Macaca mulatta: one gene and its partners. The protein of the gene in region 7 interacts with the protein of the main gene of each other region in a pairwise test. Links are inferred from orthologs where the notes say so. Each region holds a gene or a part of one and is shown on either strand. Other genes may lie near its edges. The genes, in order: KIF3C, TRIO, BICRAL, SFR1, EXOC1, KIF5B and CDC5L.

Region 1 (4,077 bases), on a different chromosome or scaffold from region 7:
AAGATTAAGACTCCCATAGAGGAACACTAAGCACAGACATGGTCTCTCCAGGATACTCAAGGAAGCAGGAGATGTCAGGCAATCCAAGCCAGGACAGGACTTCTCGTGGTACAGTACTTCATGAGTCATTATTTCATTTGAGCCTCCCAACCACTCCATGAAGTAGTTGTTAATTATTTCTTTCCTGCCTCGAATTTTTTAAAAAGTAAATGAGGAAACTAAGGCTGGAACAAGAGGAGTGATATCCACTCCGTTGGATGGTCATCAGAACTGGAACTTCAATCCAGGTTTTGTTTTAGGTAAATTCTGTGCCTCTTTCACTATAGGAAAAAAAAAATTGCTAAGGGAAGGCTTCGTGGAGGAGGAGATGCTTGAACTGCCCCAGTGGCAGGGCACTAAGTGCCGAAGGGTGATAAGGCTTCTGGGCAAAAGCACAAAGATGCTGCATAGCAAAGCAAGTTAAAGAAACAAAACAGGTTCCGGGAATGTGCACTCCTTGAGGACAGGAAGAACCCAGATCCTAGAATGGGGCCTGGGACTCAGCAGGCGCTGGATAACTGAAGAAATGGCTGTCTGGAACACAGATTTTTCTCTAGAGGAGTAGTGGAGGTGAGGTTGCGAAGTCGGGAGATGGAGAGGCTTTCACACAAGGAAGGCGGTGGAGGAGGAGCGAGGGGGCCCCGGGTGCCTGTGCGGACCTGAGGTGCCAGAGAATCAGCTGGAAGGCGGCTCCAGCAGAGAGAAGAGGAAGGCCAGAAGTAGACCGGGACAGGGGGAGGAAAGGACAGAGTCAAGGAACATTTAGGAGTTCGGTTCCAGGAGGCCTGGCGACACCCTGACGGGGAGGGGTGACGCGCACCCATTTGCAGGCAGAAAGGCAGGAGCAGGGGGGTGTCCGAGGATGGTGGCTCGGAGGGACCAGGCGTGGGTGGTGCAAGCTCAGCAGTCACTCAAGGGGTGGCATGCCGATGAGGGAGGCGCCTCTCGGACTGGGGGACCGGGAAAGGCATTAGCAACCTGCCAGAACCCGGTTAACAAAGGCGGGACTACAATTCCCGGCATGCTCGGGCTCGGTGGGGTGACGACGGGCGGTGGCTGCGCTGCAACCGACTGGTGGGCGCAGGACTTGGGTCGGCACCGGAGCCTGTCATCCCAGAGCGGTCGGCGGGGGTGCAGACACGGCGATGCGCCCCTGTGCCCAGCACCCGGGCCGCGCCGGGCTCGCGCCTCCCGCCCCGCGGCCCCGCCCCCTGCCCCACCCCAGCCGGGAGGCTTAGCTGGGGCCGCAGCGCGGCGGCAACATCACTCTTGCCGCCGCTGCTCCGCCCCATCCCCTTCTGTTTTTCTCTCTCATTCTCCAGTGGCGGCGGGGAAGGCGGAGGCAGAGGCAGCAGCAGCCGCGCTGGCTGCAATGAATGATCCCCCAGCTTGCGGGGAGGACTCCAGGTGAGCCTCTGCCCTCGGGAGGCCTGGGACCCCCGGCCGCCCACGACCGGCAGCCCACGCTATGGATCCCTAGAGGAAGGAGGAGAAGACAGCTCGCTGCCCACCCCCATCCCATTTTCCTCTTCCTTTATCTCATTGTTGCCGAAGCTGTTTACGGCAGCGCTCCCTCTGCTCCGGCATGGGGCGGGCTCCGGGCACGGCTGCTCGGCAGGCGCTCCTTCCGCGGCGGCTGGGCGATTCTGCCTAATTCACCTCCCAGCCGGTGCAGAGAGGACCGGAGAGCGGTGGAGGCCCGGACTGCAGCAGCGTTGGGGCCACCTCCCAGCGTCCCCACCCTAGGAGGCTGCATGCGGATTGAAGAGCGGCGCCTGGGGACTGGGCCGGCCCCGCTGATCCCGACCTAGCGAGCAGGACAGCAGGACCGCCCAGGCTGCGGAGGGGCTCGGGGGCAGGAAGGTCAGAGCAGCAAGATGGCCAGTAAGACCAAGGCCAGCGAGGCCCTCAAGGTGGTGGCCCGGTGCCGCCCCCTCAGCAGGAAGGAGGAGGCTGCTGGTCACGAGCAGATCCTTACCATGGACGTGAAACTGGGCCAGGTGACCCTGCGGAACCCCCGCGCTGCCCCGGGGGAGCTGCCCAAGACCTTCACCTTTGACGCTGTGTATGATGCCAGCTCCAAGCAGGCCGACCTGTATGATGAAACCGTGAGGCCCCTGATAGACTCCGTGCTCCAGGGTTTCAATGGCACGGTGTTTGCCTATGGCCAGACGGGCACTGGCAAGACCTATACCATGCAGGGGACCTGGGTGGAGCCCGAGCTGCGCGGGGTCATCCCGAACGCCTTTGAGCACATCTTCACCCACATCTCCCGCTCCCAGAACCAACAGTACCTGGTCCGGGCCTCCTATTTGGAGATCTACCAGGAAGAGATTCGAGACCTGCTCTCCAAGGAGCCGGGCAAGAGGCTAGAGCTGAAAGAAAACCCTGAGACGGGCGTCTACATCAAGGACCTCTCCTCCTTCGTCACCAAGAATGTCAAGGAGATTGAGCATGTGATGAACCTGGGGAACCAGACCCGGGCTGTGGGCAGCACCCACATGAATGAGGTCAGCTCCCGCTCCCATGCCATCTTTATCATCACCGTGGAGTGCAGCGAGCGTGGCTCTGATGGCCAGGACCACATCCGAGTGGGCAAGCTCAACCTAGTGGACCTGGCTGGCAGTGAGAGGCAGAACAAGGCAGGCCCCAACACAGCGGGAGGGGCAGCCACACCATCCTCGGGTGGCAGTGGTGGCGGTGGAGGCAGTGGTGGCGGTGGTGGTGGAGAGAGGCCTAAGGAAGCCTCCAAAATCAACCTGTCATTATCTGCCCTGGGCAACGTGATTGCTGCCCTGGCGGGCAACAGGAGCACCCACATTCCCTACCGGGACTCCAAGCTGACCCGGCTGCTCCAGGACTCCCTAGGGGGAAATGCCAAGACCATCATGGTAGCCACACTGGGGCCAGCTTCTCACAGCTACGATGAGAGCCTCTCCACCCTGCGCTTTGCCAACCGAGCCAAGAACATCAAGAACAAGCCCCGGGTGAATGAGGACCCGAAGGACACGCTGCTGCGGGAATTCCAAGAGGAGATTGCCCGCCTGAAGGCCCAGCTGGAGAAGAGGGGGATGCTGGGGAAGCGGCCCCGGAGGAAGAGCAGCCGCAGGAAGAAGGCCGTGTCCGCCCCGCCTGGGTACCCTGAGGGCCCGGTGATTGAGGCCTGGGTGGCAGAAGAGGAGGATGACAACATCAACAACAACCGCCCGCCCCAGCCCATCCTGGAGTCAGCCTTGGAGAAGAATATGGAGAATTACCTGCAGGAACAGAAGGAGCGGCTGGAGGAGGAGAAGGCAGCCATCCAGGATGACCGCAGCCTGGTGAGCGAGGAGAAGCAGAAGCTGCTGGAGGAGAAGGAGAAGATGCTGGAGGACCTGCGGCGGGAACAGCAGGCCACAGAGCTGCTTGCGGCCAAGTACAAGGTAAGGGCTCCAGAGGAGCTGGGCACTTGAGAAGTCCCTGCAGGGAATCCTGGCAGGGAGGTTCTTCTTTGAGAGTCTGTGACCTGGCCTGAAGCGGAGATCCTCCCTCAGCACCACACACTGCTCTCCTGCCAAATGTGCCCCCAGAGCAGCCGGGCAAATTGCTCTGATACCGGACTGCCAGGCACATGCACAGGCACACACACACACATGCGCGTGCACACACACATGAAGCAAAGCGGACAGGCGGTCTCTCAAGCCAGTGAGCTTGGGGTGGTCTGACCTGCTGCGGTCATTTCCTGCTGGTGGCCTCAGGATCAGTCAGGTCTGTGGGATGGCCAGGCAGCCTCTCGTGAATGTGGATTCTCGTTCCTTCACAGCCTCCTCCCCTGAGGCTTCCTCCCTCTGCAGCATCTTCAAACCTCACATCGTTTTAATAATATCATTTGGTTAGTACTTCAGTTTACAAAATGCTCCACATATATGATCCATACATGATCTCATTTGATCCTTTGGCCATCCAGGGTCACAGTTCTGAAATCCCCATTTCAGAGGTGAGGAATTAAAGCTCAGAGAAGTGACATGACCAAGGTTCCATCCTATGAAGTGGCAGAGC
Region 2 (4,198 bases), on a different chromosome or scaffold from region 7:
GTGTCCCTTTGAGGTACCCCCACCACTGCTGATGTTGATTAAAAATTTTTCTTTTCACGGGGGGAGCAAATTCCTCACCTTTTGGCACAAGGTGCTCCAGGCACACCTTGAGTATTTCCTGTTCCAGTCCTAGAATCAGCCATTTCCTCAAGGAGCTCTGGTTCCTTTTATTGGAGAATGGTATTAGAAGCAAGATCAGAGTGCTAGGTGTATTCCTTGCTACAGTGTTGTGTCTAGGCCCACTCAGCTGACAAAGCAAGGAGATACAAGTATGTGTACTACCCTCTATCTACAAATCTCTGTACAGACCCATTATATATATATGAATACATAATATAGATATAGACCCCAAACATGAGTCCATACCGATGTCTCCAACTCTAATTCTGTACCACAAGGATCACTCTAGCCTCTTCCTGGCTGTAACCTCCCACTCCAACGGTGAAGATTTGATAGCCACCATCCACCATTTATATTTGTCTATTTCCAGTATACTCGTGTGGTGGTTTCACCACCCAGTTGCTTTTCATATCTCTTGCTTCCGTCTCTTGCTTCCGTTTCCCCCCGACAGTGGATCCTTTCACTCTCCTTGGAGCCGGGGCATAGGCGTTTTGAACTAGAATATTCGTCCAGCGCTGATTTGACACGGATCTTCTGCAAAGGACCATATTTTTTGGCCTCCCCAGACCTCGTCATCTTCCCCATTCATTCTGGCGGAGTAAGGACTGAGGAGCCGTGAACCCGAGGTTCAGCAGCCTAAAGTCCCCTGGGAGATGGGGATACACCGAGAGGAATCCCATCTTACAGGAGAGCCGTGTACCCGTAGGAGTATCGTGGACTCCAGGACTGGAGTAGATAACCTGTTATCAGGCCCTCTCTGTTCACTCAACAACTATTAAGAAGCCCCCTCCCCGAGCCAGGGCCGGCGCTGCGCCCACGAGGGAGGCACCCGCCCCGGACCGCGTCACCCCGCCCTGCGGGCTAGACGACGAAACGCTTCGCCGCTCAGGGGACAGCGCTCCGGTGCAGGAGCCAGGGCCCCAGTGGGGGGCGCAATGCCGGGCCTGAGAAGGTCCGCTCGGGCTGGTCAGAGCTTTCCTGATCCTTTCAAGGCTTGCAGCTGCCTGGGTGAGGGAGACCGAACCAAACCGAACCTTCCTGCAGCCTTCCGGCCGGCCCCGCGGGCGCCCAGCAGCCCGACACGGCACCGCCCCTCCCGCCCCGCTCCTCCCCCCAGGCTCCGCCCACCGCCGAGCCCACGCTCGGCCCCTGACGAGGTTCGCCGGAAATTCCCGAAGCCCCTCTTTTTTTTTCCTTCCTCTCCGTTCCCTGCTCTCCCTTTTCCTTTCACCCGGGTTCCCTCGGCCGTGATTTCCCCTCCCCCTCCTTCCTTCCCCATTGAAATCAAGATGGAGGCTCGCGGCAGTCGCCGGCGCCCGTGATCCCGGAGCTTTCGCCGGCCACGGGCCCCCGCCCTCGCGACTGCGCGTCCGGGCGGCGCGCACTGCTGCCAGCGCTCCGGCCGGCGCCCCGGAGGCCGTGGCTCCGCGCCCCCGCCCCTCGGCCAGCTCTCGGCTACCGGGCGGAGTCCTCGTCTATGTGGGCGCGCTCCTTGGGCCGAGCCGCCGCCGCCGCCCCCCGCCGCCCCGGGGCTCTGCGTCCGCGCGCCGGGCGCGGGCAGCTGGGTGCTCGGCGCCGCCAGGCCCGGCGCAGAGCGGGCGGCACGCGGCGCTAGGGGCGCGGGGCCCGAGGCGGGCGCGGCCGCGGGCGCCGCCGCAGCCATGAGCGGCAGCAGCGGCGGCGCCGCCGCCCCCGCCGCGTCCTCCGGTCCTGCCGCGGCGGCCAGCGCGGCTGGCTCGGGCTGCGGGGGCGGTGCCGGCGAGGGGGCCGAGGAGGCGGCCAAGGACCTGGCCGACATCGCGGCCTTCTTCCGATCCGGTGAGTGCAACAGCGGCTGGCCAGCCCAGCGGCGCTGCCCCAAGCGTTCGGCCGATCCGCCGCGGAGCTGCCAGGCTCCGGCCACCACGCGCCGGTGCCCACCCGTCCGTTGGGGCCCGCACGCTCTCGCCTGGGGCCACTGCTTCCACGCGCCGGGGCTGCCCGCCCCACATCCGCGTGTCCCGCTGCCCGCGCAGCCCGGCGTGCGGCAGCTTGGCCCGAACGCCACCACTTCGCCTTCCCTACACCCGCCCCTCGTTCCAGGGCAGAATCCCCTGGTCTCCCGCTCCCGGCAGCCGCGGCTTCGCGGGCTGGGGCGCCGGCTCTTTGTCTCTTTCGCTGGAGGACCGAGGAGGCGGCGGCGGAGATGGCGTGGGCGGAGGCTCTTACCCCGGAGACCGAGCGGACTGAGCCGGGGCCGGTCCGGGACGGGAAATTGGTCTCTGATCTGTGCCTGTTTGTGCCTGATTTGTACCTGGACCCTCCTCGATCCCAGTAGCAGCTGGGTTTCTTTGCTTGGCCCGCTAGCCTGTCATCTCCCCAGCCTCGGTCTACACTTCTGTGAAACGGGGCAGTTACGGCATTCACTGCCCAGGGAATGGGAACGGTGGCCGAGCTGAAGCTCGGAGGGCCGGGAGGCGCGGTGAGCCATTGTCTCCGGGGACGATCCGGGAGGGTCAGCTGGGAACGTGGCCCCGGGGGGGCAGTGCGGGACTAGGGCTCGCGGGGCACTGCATGGGTGGCGTGGAGGTGGAGGCAGTGCTAGGTGGCCCCGAGTCCACCCCGGCGTGGAGGAGGTGGCCGCGGGAGAGGCGCGGGTGGCGACCGGTCCGTGGGAGGGGCGCCGGGTTTGGTGCGCAGGGGGCGTGACAGGGCGTCCCCGGTACCCCAGCGGCGGCGCCTCCTCCCGCCCCGGCCCAGATCCCGCGCGAGCCGGGCCCGCGTCCCCGTGTCCCGCGTCCCCGCGCCCAGTCCCGTCTGCTCGCGCGTCGGCTGAACAGCAGCAGCAGGAGGCGGCGGCGGCGGCGGCGGCGGCGGCCTCGGGGCCCGCAGCCCAGAGCGCAATCCTTAGCTGGCCGGGTGCGGGGCAGGGAGGATGCAGACTCTGCGTTGGAGAGCGGAGGAGGGCGGGCCAGGTCGGGGCCTGGAGAGGCGGGCGGGGGTGCTGGTGGCGGCCCCGGGGAGGACGGCAGGGCTGGGGACACCGACGGGCCAGGGGAGCAGCCCTGCCCTGGGGGACGCGCGGGAGGTCGGCGGCTCACGCTTTTCCGTGGCCTCTTTGAAAATCACCTCCCCAGATTCGGTGAGATCAGTTCCACAATCCGGGTCACAAGGAGCAATTGCAGCGGGAGGGCGATGGTGAGAGTGAGAAGTTAGCAGTGCTGGTAGATACCTGGTTTAGTACTGTCTTCCCTTGGTTGTCTTGATCTTTGCTAGGCGGGGTTATTTTTGATTCATTTTAGCAGATTGGTTGTGGCTAGGAGTGACACAGCCGACTGTCCAGTGTTAGCTTGGGGTTAATCTACTCCCCAGTGCTCACTCTCCTTGTGAGGTCCCTGCAGAAAGCAAAGGTTAGGAAAACATGAGCTCCTTCTAAAGAAAGCCACCCTCCCCCCCCCACCTTTTTTTTTTCCCCCGGTGCGACTGGCCAGGTAGAGCAGCCCCGTCTTACCTCTTAATAGCAGAACTGGGACGTATTCCATTCATGCCCTGAAGCTAAAGTCTAGCCTGTCTTCTTTTTCTACCACCTGTCACAGAATAATAGATTCTGTGCAGAATTCAGCTCCTCTACAGCTGTTAGAAAGGCTCTTCTGCGTTGGAGATGGATTTTTTGGTGCTTGTGAGACCAGGCTTTTTTACATCTCTATTATGCATAGTAGAAAAATCACTTCTGCTGCTAAGAGCCCTCCCTAAAAGACACCGAAGACTTGCTGCCTGTCGGCGTGACTCTCTCCAGGAGTTGTCGTCTGCTCTTGGCTTTGCTTAGGCCTGTGCTGACCCAGCCGCTGGGGCTCCTGTTCATGTTCCGTTTGGGTCAGAACCAGGTAATGTTGCTCACTGGCTTGTTCCTTTCTTCCCCCCTCTGAAATGACAAACTTAACTTTTAGTTGTTTCACTTGGAACCAGGAGCCAGGGCAGAACTTAAGTAGGTATCATCAGATGCAGCGTCCCATTCCGGGGATAACCTGGAACGTCTTTTTAAAAGTGAAATCTCTTTTGGGCAGCTCTGAGTCCCTGACCTAGATCTTGGCTCTAGCAT
Region 3 (4,042 bases), about 1.7 Mb from region 7:
ATCTCGGCTCACTGCAACTTTTGTCTCCCAGATTCAAGCGATTCTCCTGCCTCAGCCTCCCGAGTAGCTGGGATTACAGGAGCCCACCACCACGCCCAGCTAATTTTTGTATTTTTAATAGACACAGGGTTTCACTATGTTGTCCAGACTGGTCTCGAACTGCTGACCTCAGGTGATCCACCCGCCTCGGCCTCCCAAAGTGTTGGAATTACAGGTGTGAGCCACCGCGCCCGCCCTGGGCCACATAATTTAAATGCTTTGGATACAGAGAAGTTTCAACAATTTGAGATTTCAGATTAAAAAATGGGTGGTAGTTATACTTGGACCAAAGAATGTTAAAAGATTGACTAGCTCTCTTTTAAGAATGAGGGGGTTATGTAATGAAAATTCCGCAAATATGGAGATAAAAGGTATCTACATAAAGAGAAGGCAGTAGAATGTTTTGAGAGTGATTTACTCTGCCTCACCTTCCTTTTGGTCACTAAAGTTTTTTGTTTTCCTTTTTAATGTTCACATATGGGCTTCACAGGTAAGGTTTCACGAATTTTGGAATGGAGAAAGAGTGTTGCAAAGGAAAGCTTAGTACATTTAAAAGTTAGGACGAACCAGTTATTTGCCTAATAACTAAGTTAAAAGTGGTTTTGGTTTTTAAAAAGCATATGCAAAACGTATTTACTGAGGCTTGCTCTAATTAGAGTTCTAAACAAATCTTGTAGGTTTTTTTTTTTGTCTTTAATCTTCCCCGTTCGCGTGTCAAGCTAAAACTGTGTGTGTGTGTGTGTGTGTGTGTGTGTGTAGAGAGAGAGCCTGCAAGAGAATTAGCACGCACCTCGTGGATCTTAATAATTTTTTTTTAAAGCCAAATAAAACTTTCTTGAATAAACCAGTACATTTCTGAAGTTAAAAAGAATCCCAAAGGAAACAGGAATGAACATCCTTGGAGCTTGATTTACCAAAAAAAAAAAAAAAAAAAAAAAAAATTTTTAATTAAAAAAATCCTAATCTCCACATTTTTTGCCAGGCGAGAACCGAAGTTTGGAGGTAGAGGAGCAGGCGAGCGGTTTGCCCGGGCGCAGAGCATGAAGGCCGGGCGGGCGCGGGGAGCGGGCGCCCGCCGCCCGGCGCGGGGGTGAGCGAGAGAGAGAGCGGAGCGCGTGTGGCCGGCGCCGCTCGGCCGGGAGCTCCCGCGCTCGCGCCCCGCGCCCCGCGCCCGCCGCCGCCGCCGCCGCCGCCGCCCCTGTTGCGATGGCGCAGAAACCCCGTTGACAAGGCACTGCTTTTTCATGACGGTGAGTTTCCCTTTGAGTGTATTATAATTTTGTGATAAAAATTTCAAGGAGAAAAAAAAAACACACAACCTCCTTCCTCTGCCTCTTTCCTTCGGGGAGGGGAAAAGCGAGGGAGGGGGGGCTGGAGATCTGTCTCCAGCCAGAAAAGAAAGAGGAGCAAATTAAACACCGAGTTGCCAAAACCAGGATATTAGGTTTCAGCCCAGAGAGCTATTGGCTAAGGCTGTGTTTTTTTTTTTTTTGGGGGGGGTGGGTTTGTGGGTGGGTGATGGTGGTGGTGGGTGGATGTTTAATGGACACGGAGAAAAGGGGAATCGAGTGTTTATGCCTTTCCCAGCGCTGCCGGGGCCCCGGGAAGACCAAGTTCAGTGTCTCGGGCGGGGGCGCAGGCGGGCAGGGGGCGGCGAGGCCGGGCCGGGGGCGCCTCGGCGAGGTGGGGGCCCGGCGCCTTTCTTTTTCCTTTTTTTTTTTTCTCTTTTCCGCGGATGCAAATTTCTGGAGCGGGGAGAGGGAGAGCCCGGGAAGGGGGTGGCGTGGCGGTTGGTGGTGGGGAGGGGAGGGGAGGGAAGCCTTTTAATGACTCATTGATTGAGCCGGTTTAAAATTAGTTGTGTGCGCGAGTGTGAGTGTGTTTTCCGCCCCCCGGAGCCGCCGGGAGCCGGGAAGGAGGGAGCAGGGCTCGGCGAGGGGAAGACGGCGCGGCGGGGCCGCGAGCAGGGGGCAGGGAGGGCCTGGAGTGACGGCGGGCGAGGAAGAAAAATAAGCTTTTCCAATCTCCTCCCCTCTGTTTTCCCCCCCTCGTTTCTTTTCTCTCTCGGAAGCTCTAGGGTGTGAATCACATTTTCTTTCTTCTCGGCAAAATGGACCCCGCGTCTGGGGAGGGGGAGGGGAAAGGGTGGGGAGGGAGGCGGCGGAGACGGGGTTTATTTTTCATCCTGGCTTCGTCCTTCCCGCCGCATCTGCGGGCGGCCGCGGCGAGGAAAGCAGGTCCGGGCTGCGGCGGGGAGAGCTCGGGGCCGGCGAGTCGCCCTGGCCCCGCTCCGAGCCCGCGGCGGCGGCGCGCACCTGCCGCGGGACTGCCCTTTCCCAGCCGCTCGCTGCCTTCTGAAGCACCGCAGAGGATCCGCGGTCGGATCCGGCCGAGCCCCCAGCCACGCGGAGGATCCGCGGCCGGGTCCGGCTGAGTCCCCAGCCGGGCGGAGGACTCGCGGCCCAGCCGGGCGTTTCCTACGAGGCCCGTGTTGTCCGCCGCGCTGGCCAGAAGAGCTGTGTGGCTGGGACGGCGCTTTTTTGGCCGAGTGCGCGCGGGCCTGATGCTATTCGCGCCCCCCGAGTCGCCCCGAATGCGGGATCTTGGGTGGGGGGTGCGGTTGGAAGGCGCTAAGATGGCGCTGGGCCTGGCCTGTCGCCAGGGCTGGTGGCGCAGTTGCTCGGCGGGCGCCATCTTTCTCGCGGCGCGGGCGGCGCCCTCCGAGGACATGTCGCTGACCAGGGCGCCGCGAGGCCCGGGGCCAGCGGGAGCCGAGAGCAGGGTGCTGAATTCTGGAGATGGGACTGGGGTCGCGCGGCCTTCTCCTTCCCCACGGCCCCAGACCCAAAAGACGAGGCCGCCAGCTCGGAGCGGGAAGGGCTGGGGTCAGCTTCTTCCTCCTTCCCACTTGTGATGGAAGAAGGGGACTGGGCGTCGAGCCTCGCGGCTGATGGGTTCCCTCCCTGACCCCGCACCCCCACTCCTCCCAGTCAAAATTGGAGGTGAGGCGCTTCTGCCATTTCTCTCCTGCCATCTGAGAGTGGACGCCTTTGTCTTCTCTGGCCCGGCTTGGGGGCAGGGCATTGAGGCTTTTCCTTCATTCTCCAGTTATTGGAAGTAGAGTCCAACCAGGTTACAAAACTAAAAAAAGAGTCCAGGACATTGTCTGTCTGCCTTCCCGTAACATGGTTCTCTTGTGGGCACCCTACGCTTCGTTTCTTAGTTTTACTCTAAAACAACCATGAGGAGACATTTACTAGTCAGATTGAGAAGGTGATGGGTTCCAGTTTTCTGAAACTTCTTGTTGGCTTTCATATTACTTCAAATGGCAGTGAATTAAAAGTTTCTTAGAACGCTGATCTGAAAAGTTAAATATGCTTTAAAACACTCTGAAACTCTTCTAAAAAGCAAAACTGCATTATTTTCCTAAAAGCATCCATGTAAGTATCTGTTGGTAGTAAGTATCTGTGTTAGAGATGGGGGAGGGGTTTAACGTTTACATTGTTACTGAAAAGAGGAGGGGAAAGATTTGTAAAGCTCTGATTTCTCTAGAAGTCCGCAGACATGGAAAGTAAGTAGTTAATTTCTAGTATAGAAAAATAACACAGTGGTGCCAGTAGGTGTGTCCTTGTGTTTATAAATATACATAGTGGATGTTTTAGACCATTTAATAAGACCTATCTCATTGAACATCTGTATGCCAGAAACTGTGCTTGATGCTTTGTATAATTTCTATTATATCAGCCCTGAAATAGTGATTTTATGATCTGTCTACCGGGGAATGAACTACCGTTCACAGAAGTATAGTAATTGTTCGAGGTCTTGCAGTTTTTAGTAAAGTTGCCATTGGATAACGAAAGCTGTGTTTTTCCCCCTACACCTGTGGTTTCCAAATCTGAGCATCAGAATTAACTTGGGAGATGTTTTTAAATAGAGATTTGTAACATCACCTCTTCCACCATCATTTGCTAGGGCCAATGGGGTCCTTTAATTGTGTGTCAGG
Region 4 (4,051 bases), on a different chromosome or scaffold from region 7:
CCTGTAGTCCCAGTTACTAGGGAGGCTGAGGTGGGAGGATCACTTGAGCCCAGGAGTTCAAGGCTGCAATAAGTTAGGACTGTACCACTGTACTCCAGGCTGGGTAACAGAGACCATGTCTCTAAAAAGAGAATGAATAAATAAAATACACTTTTTACTCCTAAATTTTAAAATACATTCAATACTCCTAAATTTTATTTTTAAAAAACCCTAAAATTTCACGAGAACAAATGAGATATGCTATCTCATCATTTATTCCACATAGTTGGGGGAAAATGAGCTATTGCATATATATGAATTTTCCAGGTAATAAAGGTTATCTCCTTCCATGTACTCAAGTTCTATTTAATTCAACCTATATGAGTTGAAATCTAAAATCTAATATATATTTGTTTTTTTCTCAAATAATATGGCTGAATCACATTAATTATTTGGGGGAGACACAAGATCATAAATAAAATACCTTTTATTGTACTCTACAGCCCATTTTTAGTTTTACTAATTGACTGTCAGCTTTCACTTCTGTTCCCGTCGTACTTGCATCTAACATTTAATACTTCTAATATTGCTGTGGGCTAGAAACTAGAAAGAAAAGTTTAACTGCATATTAAATAAGAGCTGAGATTCTTAAAAAGTTTTACCTGGTGTTTAAGGGCCTTTTCTACTCTAAATCTGGAGTTGAATTAAAGTTGTTGGAAGCCAGGTTTCTGAATATTTGGCTTATTGCTTATTATGATAAAAAAACAAACACACACCTTATTTTCTATTTTTGAAATTACTTTCCTGCAATTTATGTAAAAATAAAAATGATACAATGGTCCCGAAATTCTTCTCACCTTTGATCTATACATTTTGACTAGTTTTAGCCTCCGAAGAAGGTCTTCTTTCTCCTGAACCTGCTTCACCAATTTGGCTTTTTCATCGTTTAATCTTTGTTTAGGAAGATTCTCATTCATGAACTCATTTTGGAGAGCACTGCATGATCCAGAATGAAGTGACTGAGATTCACAGACACTGAGATTCTTCAAAGTATTTTTCAAATTTGTATTTTCTTCAAATTCACTATCTATGTGTTTAAAACTTTCTTGAAATTCCAAACAGTTTTCCTCTGTGGAAGATGCTGGTTTGTCTGAAAAGGTCTGATCATTTTCTTCACTCTCTACTTTAAGACGTTTCACCACATTGTAACAGGAATTAAATGAAGATCTTGTTTTCCTTAATCTTTCTCTAAGTGTTGCACTCATAGGCTATAAAGAGCATAAAACATTAAAAATGTGAATCAAGAAAAACATTCTTGATGTCAATAAATCACCAGAAATAAAGGCCTTACATTTCTGTGCTAGACACCACTAGATGGCTTTCTGTCTCCACATCTAAAGAAGGCATCACAAAATGTCTTTAATTTCTGGAAGCTCCATTTGTTCTATTTCCTTTTTACTTCAGCAAGATCAACACCTTTCTAAAAGTGTTGAAAGGTTTATCCCAGTAATCAAGGAACATTTGTTCAGTAACAAGCACATGCCTGACGGTACTCCAGGTGCTTCAGAATTACAGAGTAAGGAAAAGACCTAGACCCTGCCACTAAAGACCTTCACAATATTGCACAGATTCTAACTTTCTCCATTAATCTGAAACTAACTGAAATGAATTGATTCAAGAGGAAAATATGGAAAGGGGCTGGTGGGTGTCATATATGTGACCTTAGAAGAAAAACATAAAATTGTTTAATAAAATGTCTACTTATTTATGCTACACATTATGTTAATTAACAACCTTCAGTAGAATTTAAACCACCACTGCCACAATACTTAGAAACACACAATGGATCCACTGGAAGGACAAAGATTTTCATACTTGTTTTCGTGAACTATTTGTATAGGGAGATGATGGATTCGCAGAGGCCTGAGGAGTGCTAGGTAAAACCACAGCTGAGTCTGACGAACTTTCCATCTTGAAAGTGAAATCTTGGTTTTTCTCTAAAAAAGAAAAATTATTAAATGAGAATCAAATTAGCCACACCTCTCCATAGTCGATTTTTATCAAAGAATATATTTTATTGGTGTACAAAGCATCCACAAGTAAGCCAGATATTTCTTCTAATTTCACTTTGTAATTCATTATTGCTCTTTTTGCAGTTTTCCATTTACCTTCCCACAAAGGGACCACTAAGATTTTCATGACACATCAACCAGCTAGTATCTCATAGTCACAACTCTCCTTGTTTTCTTTTCATCCACCAAAATATATTCAAATTCTGCCTTGGAAGAAGGGAATAACAGCTTTAATCAGGAATTCTTTATGATGACAGCTTCATAATTCAAGAAGATATAGCCGAAACTTTGACTCAAAAACAATAGGACCTGAATGTCACCCATCCTGAACTCTACAAGCTGTGACTAGAACCCGTTACCCTGCCGGCCCGAGGCATAAGAAACACAGCGGAGATGCATTTACGCCCTTTTAGTTTAAGCAGCGAATAGGCACTGAAAAGGAGAGTGGACTGAAATTGCTTTCTCCGACAAAGGCATCAACTTTTGAGAGGCAAACCAGGGGCGGGAGTAGTCCCCTCCTTCCCCCCATTGCAGAAAGCCCACTAGATCCCCGAAGACCCCATGGATGAGGTGAGGTTGAGTTCCCCAGACCCGGAAAAGGAGCTCAACTCGACTCCACAGCACACTCCCGGGGAAGCCCAGGTCTCAGGTAACCCCCTTCCCCTCAGCTGAGTACCTCCCTCCGCCATTCCCAGCGAGAGCAAAAAGCGCGCGCAGCTGCGGCCGTAAATCGATCCTGTGGCAGGGGCGGGGCCGTGCGGCTGGCGTAGAAGACGCGCAATTGGCCAGACTGACTAACGCGCGAGACGCCGCTTCACTCAGCGACTCAGAGCGGCGGGACTGCGCGCGCGCCTCCGCCAGCCGGCGGTTGGGGCGGGGCTTGGCCACACGATAGGCGGCCTAAACGCGTGATTGGCAGAATTAACCGGTGCGCGCGGCTCTCCCTGCCCAGCGCCCGAGGGCAGCGGGAGTGCGCGCGCGCGGCTGTGATCCGCAGCAGGTCTTCGGGGCGGGGGAAGCTGAGCTTTGGAACGACCAACCGATCCTGAGGGGGGCGCGCTTCCGTTGGCGGCTTCTCTTGTCTTATTTTCAACCGCCTTCCCTTCAGGCTTCCTTGTTTTTGTGCGTCTGTGAAGTGCGCCTGAAAGTGCCTCCCCCTGCCTCCGCCAGCCCGCCGCCTCCATTCTCTGGCTCCAGTCAGTCTCCTCTCCCCGCTCGTCACAGAAAAGGCTTTCCTCAGATGTGGCGCGGCCAGAAGCCGCACGGCTGGCTGCATGTTAGATTTACAGCTTGTGGACTCCCCAGAGGCAGAGACCACAAGAACAGCGTTGGGTTCCAGCCTGTTGAGAATGAAACATGTTAGAAATCTATCCGAGAGTCCTGGCACTTTAGCTGAGCTCATCGCTAGCTTTTTTGGCTGCCGCAAACTCGGCGGTCCCGTCGCTAGGTTTTTTTTTTTTTTTTTTTTGTAAACAACCGTTTCTGTACCTCAGTATTCAGGCTTCTTAGCGTGACCTCAAATCTTTTACTCAAATCTGAGGGAAAATGTAGCCCAAGGAAGTTTGTTGTGGCGCAACACAGGAAACAGAACAATCATTACATGAGATTGTGTCGGTGCAAAATTCAGATGTTTGAGACCGATAGGGCCTTTGCCGGCCACCGGGCAGCAGCATCCCCAGTCGAGAAAATCCACCCCCCCGACCCCCCGCCACGCTTCCAGTGTGGCGAGGTTCTGTTGCTACGCGACGACAAAGTTAGCTACACTGGGTGGAGCACTGGGTTTAGGGAAAGAGTTGTGTAACTTCTGAGTCGCGTGGAAGTTGGGAATTTCCAGGGGCTAGTGTTTTCAGTCCTCTTATTGAATGGCCGTTTTAAACATTGATATCGTCTCTTTACTATTAATAACATCTGACAGTAATGGCTTAGAAGTGGCCAGAAGGGAGTTACCTGAGCCTTAAGCAGTCAGGTATAATAATTACAGAACCTGAGGACTACTTAAG
Region 5 (3,501 bases), on a different chromosome or scaffold from region 7:
CCTTTTGTAGAAATCTCCCTTATCGGATTTCTTGACTTTGACCACCTTAACCTGCACAGGGCGTTCAGTTGTCACTGTTAAGTAAAACACACACTTTTATTAGAAATATTACTCCTTTCACTCATTCTTCTTTTGCTCCTTGCAAGTATAGCTTTCAGGTGCCTAGTAGCTGATACTAAAAGAGGTGTAATACTTTGCAACAAGGGCTTTGACTGAGGAAAGCACAGAATCCTAATAGAAGCATCTCAGTCAGACTAGAGGTTCAGAGTAGACTCCTTGAGAAATAAAGGAATAATATATTAATAACACATTAATTCAGACCAGTTTTAAAGAAAAGTATGAGGTAAAAATCTAAAGAATGATTGACATATGTAAAGTCTGCGAGGCTTGAAAGAGCAAAATAGCATTTCAAAGAGCAACAATATATTTACATATAAAGGTCTTACTATGTTGCCCAGGCTGGTCTTAAACTCCTGGGCTCCAGCCATCTGCCCACCTCAGCTTCCCTCAGTGCTGGAATTACAGGAATGAGCCACTACTCCTGGCCTAATAATTTCTTTATAGCAATGCAAGAATGGCCTAATACAGATACATTATAATTGAGTGAGGTCATTCTAAAGAGTCAATTTATCATTTGAAAAACCAAGTACAATTATACACTACACTAACAAGGGAGAAAATTTTATGATACTATCAATGATATAAAAAGCAGTTGATAAAATTCAACACCCATTCATGATTTTTTAAAAAAATTGGAAGAAATCAGGAATAGAAGGGAACTTACTTAACACTGTAAAGGATAGCTATAAAAACCCTCTACCAAATATCATGCTTAAAAATGAAGTCATTCTCTTTGAGATGGAGCCTGGATGGATAGTCCTAACTAGGAAACTAAACCAACAAAAATAAATAAAAGATATAAAGACTATAAAGGAAGGAAGAAAAATATCACTACCTTCAAAGAGTCTATAAATAATTGGAATTAATAAGAAAGTTTGGCAAGATTGATAGATATCCATATAAAACACCAACAATTCATTGTAGAATTCTAACAATATATGATTTTAAAATGTATTAATGTTAAAAAGAGCTTTCATGACTATCAAATAAAATCTAAGAATAAATCAATACCCAGGAATAAATCCAACAATATACATGCGAAACCTTTAGAGAAAATGATGAAACTCATAAAAGTTATAAAACACCTAAACAGAGAACTGTACCATGTTCATCGACACAAAAGATTCAATACAATAAAAATGTAAGTTCTCTCCAAATTGAACTATAGGTTCAAAACAATTCCAATCAAAATCCCAACAAAGTCTGAAACTTGACAAGTTGTTTCTAAAATTTAGGTGGAATAAAGAACAAAAACAAAATAAAAATAAGATATAAGATGATAACCAGAAATGCTCACACACACCACGACAGATGTCGACACAGGTGAACTAAGACTAAAATGTAAAAGACAAAATTATAAAACTTTTAGAATTTAGGAAAATATTTTTATGACTGTACAAAAGATATCCGGGAAGGATCTTTAAGACACCAAAAGGGAAAGCCATAAAGGATTAATTAATTTCATTTAATTATATTAAATTATAAATTTCATTAAAAGGCATCATAAAAAGTGAAAAGACAAGCCACTACCTGGGATGCATACAACCAACAAAAGACTGTAGAAAGATTATAGAAAGAACTTGTACAAATCAGTAAAAGGACAAGCAACACAATAGAAAAGTGAGTAAAAGGCTTAAACAGGTAAATTTCATAGACAAGAGAATGCAATGACCAAGAAATTCATGAAAAGATGCTCAATCTCATCATTATAGGGAAATACAATTTAAAACCACAATGAGATACTATTTCACTACCACCAGATTGGCAACAACTAACAGCCTGTCAAAGCCAAGTGGGAATTTGTTGACCCAACAGTTTGTTCAATTATAGAGACAACTGGGATATTCAAAACAAAAGGAAATATCTCCTAAATAACAAAAGGATACAAAACAAGTACTCTTTCTTACTAAATACCCACCTGTGGCACATAAAAAACAGTTCTTTTTCTTTTTTCCTGCTTTGCAGACATTCACAATGCTCAGCAGGCGTTCATCATTTGGTGTAAAAATGTCTCTTTGTAACGCATGCTTGATCGCTGTCATCTTTTCTCAGCTGAAAAATTTGGAGTATAGATATTAAGCTCACTCTGAACATCATTCCACCTTATACTTCTGAATTTATGATTTGAAAATGATTTTTGGTTAACAAGCCTAGGAAAAACGATTTACTATATGAATACACCTATATCACAAAAATATAAAGCTGGAAGTTTGGAAATAAAATTAGAGAACCAGTGTTATCAAAATCTAAAATGTTTGGAAATGCTCACCGAGTATACACACACACACCCCCCCCACAAACACAAGATTTAAGAAAAAAATCTTCAACTCCCTGCTCAATCTTTAAATAGTTTTCTACATAAAGAACCCTTACAACTCAACAATAAAAAGACAAATAACCCAATTAAAAATTGAATAAAATACCTGAATAGACATTTTTCCAAAGGTATACAAATGGACAATAAGCACATGAAAACATGCTTAACATCACTGGCCACTAGGAAATGCAAATCAAAACCACAATGAGGTGTCAACCACTTTATACTCACAAGGGTGGTTAAAATAAAAATGATAGAAAATAGTAAGTGTTGGTGAAGATGAGAGGAAACAGAACTCTTGTACGTTGCTGGCGGGATTGTAAAATGGTGCAGCCACTTTGGAAAACAGCTTAGTGGCTCCTCATAAAGTTAAACATGGGCTACCCTACAATCCAACAATTCCACTCCCAGGAGAACTGAAAACATAAGTCCACACAAAAATTTGTACATGAATGTTCATGGTAGCACTATTTGCAATGGCCAAAAAATGGAAATAACAGAAATGTCCATCAAATGATATATAAGTAAAATGTGGAATAGCCACACAATGGATTATTCGGCTACAAAAAAAAAAAAAAAAAGGAAATGAAGTAATGAAACATGCTACAGTATTGATGAATCTTGATAAGATTATGCTAAGCAAACAAAAGACCACGTATTGTATGATTCCATTTATATGAAATATCCAGAATAGGAAAATCCATAGATACAGAAATATAAGTGGTTTTCAGGAGCTGGAGAGGAAGGTGGAAAGGAGGATTGACTGCTAATGGGTATGGAGTTTCTTTTTTGGGGTGATGACAATGCTTTTCAACTAGATAGTAATGATGGTTGTACAACCTTGTGAATATGCCAAAAATCGCTACATTATATAACTGAAAAGGGTGAACTTTATCATATGTAATCTCAATAAAATTGTTATAAAAATAGGTTTCCACTTATCTCCTTTATCTTACCTAACTCAGCATCTTTTCAAACATCAACTTAAGTTAAAATAATTTTTAATCTCTATTTTATTTTTCATATACATATTTGTGTGGATATATATTACTATTTTTTCAACG
Region 6 (4,148 bases), on a different chromosome or scaffold from region 7:
AATCAGGCAGCTGAAGCAGTAGAGTCGCTTGAACTTGGGAGGCGGAGGTTGCAGTGTGCTGACATCACCCCACTGCACTCCCAGCCTGGGCAACAAGAGCAAAACTCAACTCAAAAAAATCTCAAAAAAAAAAAAAATCAACCAACCAAAAAACAACTAAAATGCTTATCAGTTTACCTAAAGGTTAACTGTTCAATATGGATTCACAAACCAACAACCTATACATTTATTCCTAATATTACCGTTTATATAGAGTACTGAAATTTTGAAACAGAACTTATAAGCAACTTTTTCCCAATGGAAACCTAGAATAAATGTATGTTTCCTTTATTCATTTTCCTTTAGTTCTTTCTTCATAGTTTATGTCATATCTGGGCCTCATCAAAGGTTACCTTCTAATCTTAATACATTTTATGAATCCTAAATTTTAGCATTCCAACAAAAAGAATCATAGTGATAACTACAGATCTGTGTAAACACAAAATCTGAAGAAATAAGACATTCTTAAGACAAGTGTAAAAGGAAAAATAGGTTTGTTATGTGCCAACCACTGCTGAAGCTGAGTACTGTAAATTACAAAAACTCTTAAGAAACTAATGGCCTCAAGTGTGACAACTAATCTAGGCCTTGCAAGCCTCCAGACTATATGTAAAATATACCATCCTAAAGGAAAAGGATTACTGCACTTAACTACTCCTACTCCGCCTCTGCCAACCTATGATGTCATTTACACAAGAGGTTTTCTTGTGCACTTGTTAACAAAGAACTGGCCTGACAATCTTTACACAGTAATAGTTGGCAGTTGTTAGTGGCCTAATGACTTGTTTGCCAAAGGCCTACCAAGGAGCTAAGACATTCATTTTTCGGAGCTGAACTTTGGAGAAACTTTCACATCAAAACCCTAAAGAACTTTAGTCTGTCTTCAGTGTCAATGCTTTCAATCATCCTTGTCCCATCTCCTGTGACCTCTGCCCTATTTCCAAATTAAATAGCCCCATACAATTATTAACTACAGAATGACATTAGAGGAAAAATTAACATATTAAAATTTCATACTACGGTAACAATGTAGAAAGTTAGTTCTACTACATAGCATTGCCAAGAAAGATCAACATAATTTAGTCACAGTTCACTGTTTCGTATGCCATACTTTACAATTAATTTTTAATCTCCTTCAACTAGGAGTGCTATTTTCTCAGACCTTTCAATGCCAGAGATCAGACCTTAAAACACCCTCACATTCTGGTCTCAAATGATCACTCAACTCTAGTTATGTTTTACATTACAAAAAAACAGTATCTCACTATTCTTGGGATTACCAAAGATCAATTTTCTTCAAGATAGACCTTAATTGCAGAAGTATGAATCTAATACTGGTCAATTTTTATCTTTTTTATAAGCTTGTTTTTATAATACTTTGTCTGATATAAAAACAAATAGCTGATACTTTTTCCTAGGCTGTTATCCCATAAAACCTAGCAAGAGTGCGATTTGTCTTTCGGAGCACTTATCTGACTCAACCAAAGTCGGCTAGGTCTGCTAGATTAAACAAAATTGATCATTCCGATTTATTAAAAAAAAAAAAAAAAAAGCTCAACTATTTCTTTCTACAATCATCCATTTACCATTTGTAATTGTTAACATGAAAAGTCATTCACCACTCAAAAAGTGGTGGGTGAAAGTTTGAGGTGTAGATAATATTTGTAGCTGTTTGGTGCTTTTTCCTTCTCCCAGGGGGAAACAACACGGTTCAAGGACTGGTTATGTTTCTATAAAACTAAGTATCTTTACTAAAGCATAATACGGCTTGTCTCACAGCTCAATGTCCCCAGCTGAACTTTATATAAGCATTACATATTTTCTGAATGGCAAATTTGGGGTTAATCCAAAACACCAATATCCGTAATTGCACACACAGAAACGCAGACAAACGTGCACTGAAATTGCTCCCCGGACGTTCCTCCGTTGCCGCAGGTGGGGGAGTGTCCAGGGCTGAGGCTGGGCGCCTCCCGTCTCCCGGCGCCAAAGACCGGGGTGGGGGCGATCCCGGAACGCACGCGAAGCTGCGCAGTCTTCCTCCACTGGGTTATCTGAACCGGCAAACCCCGCCGGGGAGGGCTGGGGACACCGCTGCTCCCTTTCAATTCTGCACCCTGCCACTTCCCTAAACTCTCTGCACAGCCCGGCCCGAAGAAGCGGGAGGAGGGGTGCCGGAGGGGGTCACTCACCGCGATCACGACCGTGTCTTCTCCCTGAAACTTGGCGACGTACTTGTCGCCGCGGTTCACCTCAGACTCGTTGAGAGGTCTGAAGCGACACATCACTTTGATGTTGCACTCGGCCAGGTCCGCCATCTTTCTCGCAGCCGGGGCCGGCGGCCGGGAGCCACTCCCGGCTGCTTAGTCTTGCGGGGAGCGCGACGGGGCTAAGGGCCTGGGGTCGCTAGGGCCGTGAGAGGCAGCAGTCAGCTGCGCTGCGCAGCGCTTCCCCGGGCGGAGGCGGCCGGGGAGCCGGGACTCGAAGAGCCGGCGCCGGCAGCCGTTACCCTAAGGCTCACTTCCGATCCATCATGGCAGCCATGGCGGCGGCGGCACCGGGGAGAGCGTCTGCGGCTCCTCAGCGACGCCCTCGACGGCCTGGGCGTGCTGCGGAGGCTGGGGAGGTTCTGGGGGCCGGGAAGCGGCCACCTTCTTCCTCCTCGCAAAGAGCAGATCGGGCCTACCCGTCCGCCCGCTCTGCTGTCCGCTGGCCGGCTGGCCGGCTGCTGCCCTATCACTCCTGAGGCCGCCGTTGGGCGACTGGGCGGCGCGGGAGGAGGAGTGCGCAGGCGCGGTGGGCCGGGAGGCCCGGCGACCAATCCGTGCCCGAGCTCGCAGCCGGTCTCTGCGGCCGCGCCGCCGGTTCCGCCACCACTCCTGGCCAGGAGTCGCAGATTCAAATTTTACAGCACTGCCAGTCTCGCAGAAGTGCCTGGGGACGCAGGGCGGCAGCTCCCAGTCGCCATCCCCAGCCGCCGAAGAATCCCCCAGAGCTAAGGCAGACGTACTTAGCTTTCTTTTCTTTGGGGGAGAAAGGGTTTGCTTTAACTACTTAATGTGGTTTGTTTAAATAAATCACTAGGCTGGTCCGGGTGCGGTGGTGTTTGCAACTAGTTGATGACAGCCAGAGATTTGTTTCTTCTCCACTCCCGCTGTGTCACTTGACCAGCTTTAAAATTAAAAACATAAAGTACTATATTCCTAAAAGAAAGTGTTGCTTTCATTTTTTTCTGGCGGCGGGAATCATTCCTGGTCTACCTTTTTAGAGCGCATTGCCAGAAAAAGTAAGATTTCAATGAAGGGTAACTCTTTCCTGAGAGTGGGATGTAGGGAGACAGGAATAAGAAAGAAAAAGGAAAATTTTCCTGAGGAATGAAGAAGGTTGCTGAAGAAATGTGGAACAGCAGGGTGAGGAGGGGGAAGAGCCCTCAGCCCCCCTCACACAGCATCTCTGTCACTTCATCTGCCCAGTGCCTTGTATCCAGCCCGCACCCACGCCGCCCCCACGCAGTTCAGCGAATTCCCGCCACTTCGCCGGCAATGAACATACGGAACTCATCAATCCCAATACTGGAGGAATGACTGACCTGGAGCATAAAGATGGTCTTTATAAAAGGCCTAGGTAAATTTGTGCATTACATATCCAAGGAAAACCACTCCATAGCTGATTTTGCCTTCTAGTTTTAGAAGATGAGTACCATAAAATTCCACGGGGAAGTGGATCTGAGGAAGTGGCTCTGAGGTGCTGCGGAAGAACTGCAGTAACACCTCCTCCCCCGGTCCCCAATTTCTGTTTGTAAAACGAAGGATTGAACTATGAAAACCTCCAGGGCTCCCTGTGCTCACCCAATCATCCTAATACCTCCAGAAACCAATTCAGAGTTCAACAGATTCAGGTTTATTAATCCACTGCCTTGAAGAAGAGCTCAAGCTCAAGGAACCTTAGAGCATCTCACCAAACAAAAGAATAGATGGAATTAACCCGGGGCTTTCTGGGAGGTGTGGAGTTCTGATAACATTTCAATGAAGCAGTGTTTTGAGAGGCCCCAAGCAAGGCAGAGCTGCAAGTAAAGGCATTAACATCAGATCTGGCCAGGGGTGGTGGCTCAC
Region 7 (3,501 bases):
AAAAAAAAAAACCCTATTTTAACTGAGAGCTGACACATCTTTAAATTTCCACATTCCAGAAAAACGAATTGCTAAAGCTGTGTGATTAGTATCAGGGGTTCTCGGTAGTACTCATCTTTTTTGTGGCTTTGAAAGTTTCCATAATATAGCTTTAGAAAGTCTTCCTTACAGAATGTGAGGGGAAAATTCACATTTGATATAAAATCAAGCTACAAAGGCTGTATCTCTATACTGAAATTCTTTCAAATCAACGTATCAATGTACCAAGAATGTAAAATAGCAGTATTTATACAAAATTGGAGGAGGAAGACTGAAAACCAATTAAAATATCACACAGAAATACTCCAGTGAGCCACAAGATCCCTAAGAAAATCTAAAGGTGTTGTGTTAGTAATTTTACCAAAATAAATATCCTAAGGTGTACTAAGAAAAAAATTAAAGACAAAATTTCAATTTAATAAATATCCCCACTAGGAATGTCAGGATACGACAAAATTAGTTTATGCCCAAGAATCTTGTGTTGATGCAGCCAATGTGCTCACAGGGGGAAAGAGTTCTTCTGGTCTCCTAAGTCCTTTCTTCTGCACCATTAAATCTGTCCAATTCTACAAAGCTGTACTACTCAAAACAGAAAAAAAAGAAGGTTAGCTAGGCACAGTGGCTCACACCTGTAATCCCAGCACTTTGGGAGGCCGAGGCAAGTAGATCATGAGGTCAAGAAATCGAGACCATCCTGGCCAATATGGTGAAACCCTGTCTCTACTAAAAACACAAAAATTAGCTGGGCATGGTGGCGCACGCCTGTAGTCCCAGCTACTTAGAAGACTGAGGCAGGAGAATCACTCGAACCCGGAAGGCAGAGGTTGCAGTGAGCCTAGATGGCGCCACTGTACTCCAACCTGGCGACAGAGCGAGACTCAGTTTCATTAAAAAAAAAAAAAGGTTACTCTAAGGTCCCATGTTTCTGATCAACTAGAATAAGTAAAAAGAAAACAGCCTGTAACAAGCTGAATGAAAGAATGTTTGTATCTTTTCTCCACAACTCCTACATTGATTTTCGTAACTGTTGTCTCAAAAAAGACAAGCAAAACACAACAAAACACTCCCTGGGAGAAGGTAGCTTAAAGTCCACAAAGCCAAACCACACCTTTACCCTTGTCAGCTACAAAAAAGAAGCCTAAAATCCTAACCTGTTGACAAAATGTTAAGAGCTGACGATTACTTACCAAACCATCATATGAGCAGTTTAAGACCTGATACAATAATTTATACAGAGAAGCTGAAGCTATCTTATCATACTATATCACAATTACTTGTGGGTTTTTCTTTTTCTTTTTTTTTTTTTTTAGACAGAGTCTCACTCTGTCACCCAGGCTGGAGTGCGGAGGCACGATCTTGGCTCACTGCGACCTCCACCTCCAGGGTTCCAGTGATTCTCCCGCCTCAGCCTCCTGAGTAGCTGGGATTACAGGTGTGTGCCACCACGCCCAGCTAATTTTTGTATTTTCAGTAGAGACAGGGTTTCACCACACTGGGCAGGAACTCCTGTTGTCTTGAACTCCTGACCTCAGGTTATCTGCCCATCCTGGTCTCCCAAAGTGCTAAAATAACAGGCGTGAGCCACCGCAGCCAGCCCACAATTACTTGTTTTTATGTGTGTCTTACCCATTAAACTGTGAATTTCTTAAGAGCATCCAGCACAAACCTGGCACACAGGCCTTCAAACATTTGCTGAATAAATGATATAAGCATATAAATTCACATAGTGAAAAATTTGCTTTTATCAGATTACCTGAGGGGCAGGAAGTACTAGTTTGCTTCTCTTTTTAGTAAATTCAGAAACACCACTAGTTTGAAGAATAGCTGATGGTAAATCAGATTCTTTTTTCCTTTTCAAATGCTGTTTGTCTTTTTTTCTATCTCTTCCTTCTTTTTCACTGTCATGGATCAAGGTAGAAAAGACATTTGTAAGTTACATATAGGCAAAAACATTAAAATTCATACAAATACTCATACCCTTTGAACAAACCAACCTCATTTCTAAGAAAATAACTAAAAAAGCCGGGTGCAGGGGCTCACGCCTGTAATCCCAACACTTTGGGAGGCCAAGGTGGGTGGATTACCTGAGGTCAGGAGTGCGAGACCAGCCAGGCCAACATGGCGAAATCTCGTCTCTACTAAAAATACAAAAATTAGCCAGGCGTAGTGGCGTGTGCCTGTAATCCCAGCTACTCGGAGGCTGAGGCAGGGGAATCACTAGAACCTGGGAGGTGGAGGTTGCAGTGAGCTGAGATCCTGCCACTATACTCCAGCCTGGGCGATAGAGAAAGACTCCATCTCAAAAAAAAAAAAGAAAAGAAAAGAAAAGAACTAAAAAAAGGCAAAAACAATATGCATTAAGTGGTCCCCTACACCATTACTTACTATATTCAAGATAAAAGCAAACTCAGAATAGCAATAAAATTATTAATAACATACCCTAAGTAATTGAAGTACTAAATATTAAAACATATAAGTATGAAGACTGTGATAAGCAAAACATTCCACATAATGTCAAAAGAAAAACTATTCCTATATTATGAACATTCAATGAAAATGTGTGTGCACATAGGAAAAAGTATGACAAGTATGTAAAAAGGACAATGTGTATGAAAGAAATAATATTAAAATATAGTATTTAAATTTCCCTTTAAAACTTACTAAATTGTCATGATTCTTAAAATTCACAAGTTTTTTAAAAAGGCTGTTTTAATACTGACAAGCAACATCTAAACATGATTAAGACGCCTAAAGACAGGCTCGAAGCAGTCTTTCAAAGCTCCAGGAATACCTCCTCCCCTTCTGCGTCTTTCTTGCCTCCCCCACTTAGTACTCCTTCCAAATCAATAGTTTTCCTGTTCCGTCTCTTTACTTGTACAGCCTACCTAAAGCAAAGTCCTAATTTGAGGAATAAATACAATGGAGTACATCTAAGAAAATCCTATTTTACAATGGCCGATAGCTGTTGTTTTGTAACAATTCATATCAACAGAAATTAAAGGTCAACAGAGCAGAAAACTTTTAAAAATCCTTGACAACCATAAAATACTTTCCCTACAATATTCAGATATGAGATTTAAAGAAACTAAAATTCTCAAGAAATAGGGAAAATCTGCTATCTTCTAAAACATAAAGATTTTATAAAAGTGTATCTATCCCATCAAGTGAAAGGATCAGTAGTTTTTTCTTTTAATTTCATCTTAATAAAAACAAAATTTTTCACTAGAAAAGACTAAAAGGGCCAGGCGTGGTGACTCACGCCTGTAATCCCAATACTTTGTGAGAGAGGCAAAGGGAGGACAGTTTGAGCCTAGGAGTTTAAGGCCAGCATGGATAATATGGCAAGACCCACCTCTCTACAAAAAATAAAAAATTAGCCAGTCATGGTGGCACACATCTGTAGTCCCAGCTACTTGGGAGGTTGAGGTGGAAGGATCACTTGAGCCTGGGAGGTGGAAGATA

What was found.
Region 1: the proteins of CDC5L (region 7) and KIF3C interact in a two-hybrid assay, tested with the Homo sapiens proteins (2 studies listed by BioGRID and IntAct). The link is inferred for Macaca mulatta from reciprocal best matches to the Homo sapiens genes CDC5L and KIF3C.
Region 2: the proteins of CDC5L (region 7) and TRIO interact in a two-hybrid assay, tested with the Homo sapiens proteins (2 studies listed by BioGRID and IntAct). The link is inferred for Macaca mulatta from reciprocal best matches to the Homo sapiens genes CDC5L and TRIO.
Region 3: the proteins of CDC5L (region 7) and BICRAL interact in a two-hybrid assay, tested with the Homo sapiens proteins (2 studies listed by BioGRID and IntAct). The link is inferred for Macaca mulatta from reciprocal best matches to the Homo sapiens genes CDC5L and BICRAL.
Region 4: the proteins of CDC5L (region 7) and SFR1 interact in a two-hybrid assay, tested with the Homo sapiens proteins (2 studies listed by BioGRID and IntAct). The link is inferred for Macaca mulatta from reciprocal best matches to the Homo sapiens genes CDC5L and SFR1.
Region 5: the proteins of CDC5L (region 7) and EXOC1 interact in a two-hybrid assay, tested with the Homo sapiens proteins (2 studies listed by BioGRID and IntAct). The link is inferred for Macaca mulatta from reciprocal best matches to the Homo sapiens genes CDC5L and EXOC1.
Region 6: the proteins of CDC5L (region 7) and KIF5B interact in a two-hybrid assay, tested with the Homo sapiens proteins (2 studies listed by BioGRID and IntAct). The link is inferred for Macaca mulatta from reciprocal best matches to the Homo sapiens genes CDC5L and KIF5B.

What each region holds. Positions count from the first base shown.
Region 1 is NC_133418.1:99,013,694-99,017,770, forward strand, and holds the start of KIF3C (kinesin-like protein KIF3C), read left to right. Parts: upstream 1-1,276; 5' UTR 1,277-1,916; coding exon 1,917-3,461; intron 3,462-4,077.
Region 2 is NC_133411.1:15,573,322-15,577,519, forward strand, and holds the start of TRIO (triple functional domain protein), read left to right. Parts: upstream 1-1,397; 5' UTR 1,398-1,781; coding exon 1,782-1,938; intron 1,939-4,198. UniProt on the Homo sapiens protein: Guanine nucleotide exchange factor (GEF) for RHOA and RAC1 GTPases. Involved in coordinating actin remodeling, which is necessary for cell migration and growth. Plays a key role in the regulation of neurite outgrowth and lamellipodia formation.
Region 3 is NC_133409.1:139,355,109-139,359,150, reverse strand, and holds the start of BICRAL (BRD4-interacting chromatin-remodeling complex-associated protein-like), read left to right. Parts: upstream 1-1,242; 5' UTR 1,243-1,289; intron 1,290-2,015; exon of another isoform or gene 2,016-3,396; intron 3,397-4,042. UniProt on the Homo sapiens protein: Component of SWI/SNF chromatin remodeling subcomplex GBAF that carries out key enzymatic activities, changing chromatin structure by altering DNA-histone contacts within a nucleosome in an ATP-dependent manner.
Region 4 is NC_133414.1:116,280,848-116,284,898, reverse strand, and holds the start of SFR1 (swi5-dependent recombination DNA repair protein 1 homolog), read right to left. Parts: upstream 2,801-4,051; 5' UTR 2,741-2,800; coding exon 2,728-2,740; exon of another isoform or gene 2,643-2,727; intron 1,977-2,642; coding exon 1,855-1,976; intron 1,248-1,854; coding exon 837-1,247; intron 1-836. UniProt on the Homo sapiens protein: Component of the SWI5-SFR1 complex, a complex required for double-strand break repair via homologous recombination. Acts as a transcriptional modulator for ESR1.
Region 5 is NC_133410.1:77,615,709-77,619,209, forward strand, and holds part of EXOC1 (exocyst complex component 1), read right to left. Parts: intron 2,173-3,501; 5' UTR 2,163-2,172; coding exon 2,039-2,162; intron 75-2,038; coding exon 1-74.
Region 6 is NC_133414.1:33,415,978-33,420,125, forward strand, and holds the start of KIF5B (kinesin-1 heavy chain), read right to left. Parts: upstream 2,801-4,148; 5' UTR 2,355-2,800; coding exon 2,229-2,354; intron 1-2,228. UniProt on the Homo sapiens protein: Microtubule-dependent motor required for normal distribution of mitochondria and lysosomes. Can induce formation of neurite-like membrane protrusions in non-neuronal cells in a ZFYVE27-dependent manner.
Region 7 is NC_133409.1:137,702,698-137,706,198, forward strand, and holds part of CDC5L (cell division cycle 5-like protein), read right to left. Parts: intron 1,938-3,501; coding exon 1,793-1,937; intron 1-1,792.